2 linked regions of the Mus musculus genome follow. The protein of the gene in region 1 purifies or fractionates together with the protein of each later gene. This does not show direct contact. Links are inferred from orthologs where the notes say so. Each region holds a gene or a part of one and is shown on either strand. Other genes may lie near its edges.

Region 1 (3,648 bases):
CCTGAGGACGGGCGATGTGTCAGGCTCGTGCAGGGGGTGGGGAGAGTAAGCAGTTTGTACCTCAGTCTCACTGAGGCCCATGGCATGCATGGAGGGAGCCAGGCTTTAGGGCAGAAGTCGCTTGTGGTGTGTTTATTGAGGTCATGGTTTTAGAAACATGAGCAGAAAAACACCATCCCTGGGGTTACCTCATTCTCAGCTGCAGCGGCCAGAGACTCCCAAGGCAGAACAGATGTGAGCAAGAGATACACCGTAGTGGACTTCTGTGGTTTGTGTTCCCGTGGCCTGTAGTATTAGAGGAGGCTCCAGGGGAGCGGGAATGTGGTCATTAGCCAGGAGGCACAGCAGAGGTGTTGATGGCTCAGAAAGGCCATTTGAAGTGATCTTTCTAAAGGGAACACTTGAAAGCGTCTTCCAAGGAGCTTTTCCAGGGTCCTGTCTGCAGTTCCCCATCAGGAACCAACTAAGCATACAAGTCTCCAGGAGGGCCCACGTTGATCTTCTGGAGGCAGCCTTGCAGAGCCAGGGGTTTACAGAGGTGTCAAGGGTTGAGTGATTGAGACGTGTGCGGGTGGTCCAGCTGATCGCATAGTTTAACTGAGCATCCAGAGACAAATCGCATTTCCTGATTAAATTGGGAGAAGAATAATTTGCTGAAATGCCCGTGGCATTTACTAGGCAACTAAAGAAGAGCGAGCAAGGAGTATTGTCCGTCAGTTGGTAATGGGGAGTGTAGAAGCGTTCTTTATTGAGACATCTCAGGAACCAAGGGTTTAGGCAGAGGGGCAGGTGCTCAAGGCCCACGGTTGCTAGGCTGGTGGCTCAGCCTCTGGAGCCCATGTGTGACAGCTGGCCACTGGCAGGCACTGTGCTGGGGGCTTTGCATGAGGTGTCCTTACGCAACGAAGTCCCCTGGTGCTGTTAGCACTTATTCATGGTGTCACTCATCTAATCTGAAGAGAAGGAAGTTGCCTTAATTTGGGCAAATATGGCAGGTAGAAACTTGCAGCCAGAATATTCAGCCAGGAGTTCTCAGATAGAAAAAAAAATACATATTTTTAAATAAACAAACACGATGGCCTGATTTTTACTGGACCAGGATCGTTCTGGGGAAGGGTAGTGATACCCTCCCCAGCATGCAAAAGGCAGGCAGTGAAGCGGGGATTTCTGTGGTGAGATGGATTAGGTGACCTAATAGGTCTCTCTCTCTCTCTTTTTTTTTCTCTAAATTTCTAGGAGTCTCATGATTTGAATATTGATGAACTCTTTGACTTGAACATTTTGTTTCTTCTAATTGTTCATCTTTTCCTGATAATTATAAGGTACACCAGGAAGATGGCATCAACTCTGCCCTTTATAAAAGGTGGATCTTTGAAACCATAGACATTTTTCTGTTGTAGTCCAGCCTGATCCTAGACTTTCTGCAGTTTACCCCTCCTCCTCTGAGGTAGTAAGAAAAGGGAAGTGCATTTTCAAAGGTCTGTCTGCTTTGTTCAGCCGGCCTGTTCTTTGTTAATAGTGAGAAATTGGGTCCATCCGGGAAGCGTGCGGTCATTGGAGGTGGGAACAAGGAGCAGCTTAGTCGTAGCCAGTCAGGCCTAGGATCTGCAAACACACAGGGCTTCCTGTCGCTTCAGATCCCAGGGCTGAATAGAAATCACCTAAGAATAAAGGGGTCACTCAGTGCTGGCTTTCAGGTCTTAGTTTCCCAGACAAACCTGTCGATCTCATCTTCCTACGGTTTTGGTTCAAAGAGAAGGGAAACTGAATATCTAGAATCGCTTCTTATACAAAGACAACGTGTGGTTAGCTGGTTTGAGAGAGACAGTTCTGATGGATAACACTTTCATGACAATGAGACACCAAGCTAACTGTTAGGAAAGACTTGCCTTTAATTTGTTGAACATAGTTCTTCATTCAGATCTGGATGTATGCACACTGAGAGGTCATGCTAGGGTTCTAGAACATTCTCACGTCTCTTCTTGCTCAGATGTCTGACATGCCAAAGCCTGCCTTCATGAAGCAGAACCTGGATGAGCTTGGAATCGGAACGTACCACAATATTGCCTTCATTCACCCAGACACTCCCATCATCAAAGCCTTGAACATCTTCGTGGAGAGACGGATATCCGCATTGCCTGTGGTGGATGAGTCAGGTCTGTGAGGCCACGCCTGCTCCTGGGCCTGGATGAGTGGGAAGTGAGCGAGCAGACAGCGGAGGAGGAGCGAGTGCTGGGCTGCGGCTCAGTAGTCATCAGTCAGGAAAATAACTTTAAGCAGGCTCCGTTTTCAGTTTACATCAAAATACCCTCTCCTGCTTACTTCTAAACAAGCCCGTTTGTTTTACTGAACACTGTTATCCACAGTAGTTACCTAGTTAAGACTGAGATAGATTAGATAGATAGATAGATAGATAGATAGATAGATAGATAGATAGATAGATAGGTAGCTAGGTAGATAGGTAGATAGGTAAGTAGATAGGTAGATAGGTAGATAGATAGATTTTTTTTCATTACTGTTCCTAAAATGTTTTTCTAACATATGTTTTCATTTTTAGGAAAAGTTGTAGATATTTATTCCAAGTTTGATGTAATTGTAAGTATTTTTTTCATGTTTTTAAGCCTGTCATTCAGAATGCATTTTAAAACAAATGAAAACTTAAAATACATTAAGTTGTTTATTCCATGATGTAATAATTCCTGACCTTTCCAGTGAAAGTCTTGGAGAATTTCAGTCTCCTCTCAGGGGAGCTATATCTGATAATATTGCTTTACCAGTGAGCCGTGTGTACATCTGTGATGGTCTTTACTCGGGCACTCTGATGGGAGCTCGTTGTCTCCGTCCCTACAGCCCGTGAGCCTTATTTGACCACATTTCTTTTGGGGTTGCTCTGCCGATGGGGGTGCTCAGTGAACACATGAGCTGGGCCCTCATCAGTGCAGATTCCTGCTCAGGTTGGGAGACACTGACCTAAGAAGACAGCCAGGAGACTAAGATCTAGGCCCTAGTCTCCCGCGGTTCTTAAAGCCAAGCACGTCGTGACTGCTGACCTGAGTCCCCTCACTGGTGCCTTTGCCTTTAACACTGGCTGCCCACTCATCTTTAAGATAGTTTTTGAGTTTCATACTGTGTCCAAGAAAGGGAAACTGGTTTGATAGCGGAAACGGACACACATTTTGCTACAGTTTTGACCCTGCCACTAATTATGGTTTTGCAGCTGTTTTTCGGTTCAACCAAAAATAATTTCATTAATCCAGAAATCTTTTCATTAGAACCTTGGATGAATGGACCCACTAAAATCGGTGGGGGTCATGGGAGACTCCGTGGATTTCTGGTCTTCTTGATGTTAACAAGTCCCATACTTCCCGAATAGCTCTGGGAACCCACTGGGAGACTCTGATGCAGGCGCCCTCCCTCTGAGGCATGTCAGCCTCGGCAGATGTCAGTCCATTTCTCAAGAGACACTGCTTATGTGGGGTGTAGAGCCTCCATGGACAAGAGTGGGAGGAGCCTGGCAGAAAATACTTGTTGCAGGAAATATTAAAAAAAATAGAACTGGCACGGTCCAGAGCTTGTGCCTCTGCTCCGGCGGCCTGACCCGCTATGCACTGGCAGGCAATGGCCGACCTGTTTTTATCTCATGGAGAC
Region 2 (3,748 bases), on another chromosome or scaffold:
GTGAAATTGGAATGGAGATTTGGTGGGAGGGCATTAAAGGAGTTGGAAAGAGAAAGGGCAGGGACTCTGATTAAAGCACATTGTATGAAATGTCAAATAATAAATTAAAATGTACTCTTTTTTTTAAGTTTTAGGATTTACTTGTTTTATGTATATGAGCTGTAGCTGTCTTCAGACACACCAAAAGAGGGCAACAGATCCCATTACATGGTTGTGAGCCACCATGTGGTTGCTGGGAATTGAACTCAGGACCTCTGGAAGAGCAGTTTGTGCTCTTAACCACTGGGCCATCTCTCCAGCCCTAAAATGTATTCTTAATACGCATATACTTTGTTTCACCAGCCCCTTGACTTAACAACTACAGCTGTATTGATTACAAACCCACTTGACCTAGCTTAATTTCTGTCATAAAACACCCCAACTAAAAGTGACTTAGGGAAGAAAGGGTTTATTTTAATTCAGTTTCCAGGCTACAGTCCGTTTGAGGGAAGTCAAGGCAGGAACGTGAAGCACATCCTCGGTCACCAGCAGAGAGAGAGAACACATGCAGGCAGGCCTGCTCATCATGCTCGCCCATCCCTCTATACTTAACAGAGCGCAGGACCCAAACTCAGGGAACAGTACTGCCCAGAATGGGGGAGGGCTTCCCACTTGAGCATGCGCAGAAGCTAACTGGATCTAAATAATTCTTCATTAAGCTTCCCTTCCTAGGTGTTTCTTCCTTGTGTGCATTTGACAATTAATAGTAACTATCACACCACATAGGGAATATCTCTTTAGGGAAGATAAAATGGTCAGGAGAAATCCAAACAGCTCGTTCCAGCAGGGTTCTCCAGGAAAAAGATTTTTCTCATAAGCCAAAGGTCCCTTCTGCTCCATTTATATTTTAGGAAGCTGGCGCTTAGAAGCAGACAGAGACTATAACCAAATATTTTCGAACTATCCCTTGACAATGGCCTGAGAAATCAGATCGGGTATTCCACTCTACATCAAGAGGAAAAAAAAAAAAGCAAGCGCAAACAAAAGCACTTAGCAGAACATGAAAGCATATAGGCTAAGTTATATAACTTACCCTAAATGGCAAAGCAGCCGTTTGCATAACTTTGCAATGCCACAGCAAAGCAGTTCTCTGCAAAGATGGTGGCAACATCATTATCTAATCTCTATCATTATCATCTCCCAACTATCCACAACTCTTACAAGATCCCAACTTCACAAGACTTCAAAGAATTTTACAAACATTTTAGGTCTTTACAAAAATACCCACTCCGTGAGGCCACGTGGCACCTTAATATAATCTGCCAACCTCACAAAAGGCTCCATCCTTCCTTCCCCTGTTCTCCTTTCTCAATAGGAGGGGGCCATATACTTTTCACATGTATTCTGATTGTCTTTCCCTCATAGCGAGTAAGTCCCAGGAGAGCTCAGGTTTTGCTCTTTCCTAGAACTCCGTTGCCCAGAACAGTTCCCCGCATGTGGTGAGAGCATTCAGTGTTTTCTAGTTGTACAAACCGGTATTAGATACACCAAGAGGAGTTAATCCTCGCAGGAATGAGGAGTCTCTCCCTTCTATTCAAACCTTCACTGGAGGTTAAAATGTAGAAAATAAGCCTCAGCATAAAATCCCCAGACTGCTTACCCGATATTTATTCAACAACAACAAAAGGCTAATGTTTCACTTTTAATTCCCAACTTGCTACCAAGTATTTTTTTTAACAAGAGCTGTAGTTCTGTTAAAAGGACGGGTAATCAAACCCCATGTGACTCTTATTAACTAATAAGAAAGCAAAGCAAAGTTTAATACTTAACTAGTTTAGTGCAGTGTGACATTTCAAAAGCAACCAGTTTTTTTCCAAAACCCCCAAAGCAGTCCCTTCACCAACAAACATACCCCTTGCCTAAGCAAGTCTGACCTCTTGGGGACCCAAAGTCGATCACCAAGCAACATTTTCTCCCAGACCCTGACCACAGAATCCTTCCTTGAACCAATCAACCTACAGAGCTAGGGGTTCTCCTAAATTCTCTGTCCAACCCGCTGCATTCCAGCGTTTTCACACACCCAGCAGAGGGACTTGGCACCTCTCTGCTATGGGCATGCCCCTGGTCAACTCCACCATCAAAGGACTGGGACAGGGAAGAATCTGGGAAAGGCAGGGACCTCATCAGCAAGGCCAAAATTGGAGGACATCTTAGACCTCACCCTGAATCTGCCAATTCTCTGTGACCTTGGGCGTGTCTCTGAAGCCTTGGAGCTCGAGTTCTCTCACCTTTAAGGTGAGGACCGCACCCGGCCGGTGCCACGTTAAGGATTAAGTGTGACCACAGATGAGGCTCCACGCAGAGCACTTGGCACCAGTGGGAGACCCCCTCCCAATTCGCGGCGGGCGCCGTGACTCCCCCATCCTCCCCACGCTTCGGGGCCCTTCGGACTGGGCCAATCGCCCAATTCTGCAGACAAGCGAGCTGAGGCATAGAGAAAAGACAGGGCGCTCGGAGGCACCCCCCGCCAAGGCACACCCCATAACCGCTGGTCCCCCCGGACCCACGCCCGGGCTGCGGCTCCAGGTGCTTGTGCCCCGGGCTCGCCCGCGAGCGCTCCACCTGCCACCCGGCCTCGCTCGCGCCTGCCCGCCCGCCCGCGCCGCTGCACTCACTCTTCACTTTGCCGAAGGTGCCGACGCCCAGGGTGTCCCCCAGGACGTAGTGTCCGATCTTCACCCGCCCGTCGTGCTTCTGCTTCTCAGCCATGTTCGGCGCACGGGCTCCCCCTGCCGCGGGCTCTGAGCGCCGCCGCCGCTACCGCTGCCGCCGCCGCTACCGCCGCCACCGCCGCCGCCGCCGCCTACCCACAGTGCAGCGGGCCCGGGGGGCGGGACGGGGACGCCCGGGGCGCGGTGGGGAGAGCGCAGCCCGGCGCGTGTGGACGCAGGCTGGGGGAGCAGAGCCGAGGCGTCCCGAGAAAAGCCCAGGGCGGTGAAGATGGAAGGGATGAATCTGAGCGCGACCGAGATGGAAGGAGAATCTGAGGAGAAGTGGGGGTGACGGGGTGTAGACCGTGAGCCATGCCTCGGGACCAGAGGGCAAGGCGCTGGAGAGGGCGGCCCGCCCCTAGCCCCTGGCACGCTCCCCCTAGCCAAGGTTTGTTTGTCTGGGAACGTTCTAGTCCGTACCCTCTTCAGATGGCGTCCCATTGTTTTGTAGTTCCTGGTCGTGTTATTGTTAGGTCTCAACCCCCAGACAAACTGCCAACGGAGACGCCTAGCATTAACATAGCAAAGGTGACGTGACGCTGGTTCTCTCAGCATCCCTTAGTCCCCACCTGGTATAGGGTCCTCCTGCCTGGCATACCCTGACCCCTACCCTGAACTCTCCAGCCCGGGGACTGAGCTGCCCCTTCCCTCAGGTCCTCTGATCCCTAGATAATTCAGCCATTTTGGCTGTGCCAGTTTCTTAGCCCAGGCCACCCACCCCTCTTAGGCTTGGCTCCTCTCTTGCTCTCCCTCCCTCTCTCTCCTCACATGGCCCTGCTGAGTCTGACCATGTGTCTCTGCCTCTGCTTCTGCCTGTATGTTCATTTTATCTATAACAGGCCTTCCTCATTGTGTTAGTTAAAGCTTTTATTGTTGCGATAAAACACCATAACCAGAAAGCAAGTTGGGGAGGGCAGGGTTTATTTTTTACACCTCCACCGCACTGTTCATCATTGAAGGAAGTCAGGACAGGAACTCAATGCATGGAACCTGGAGGC

The links.
Region 2: the proteins of Prkag2 (region 1) and Prkaa2 purify together in Homo sapiens (affinity purification with mass spectrometry; 5 studies listed by BioGRID and IntAct, counting the BioPlex papers as one, with this or other methods). This does not show direct contact. The link is inferred for Mus musculus from reciprocal best matches to the Homo sapiens genes PRKAG2 and PRKAA2.

Annotation. Positions count from the first base shown.
Region 1 is NC_000071.6:24,870,002-24,873,649, reverse strand, and holds part of Prkag2 (5'-AMP-activated protein kinase subunit gamma-2), read left to right. Parts: intron 1-1,236; exon of another isoform or gene 1,237-1,322; intron 1,323-1,990; coding exon 1,991-2,156; intron 2,157-2,557; coding exon 2,558-2,595; intron 2,596-3,648. UniProt on the Homo sapiens protein: AMP/ATP-binding subunit of AMP-activated protein kinase (AMPK), an energy sensor protein kinase that plays a key role in regulating cellular energy metabolism.
Region 2 is NC_000070.6:105,107,051-105,110,798, forward strand, and holds the start of Prkaa2 (5'-AMP-activated protein kinase catalytic subunit alpha-2), read right to left. Parts: upstream 2,849-3,748; 5' UTR 2,749-2,848; coding exon 2,655-2,748; intron 1-2,654. UniProt on the Homo sapiens protein: Catalytic subunit of AMP-activated protein kinase (AMPK), an energy sensor protein kinase that plays a key role in regulating cellular energy metabolism.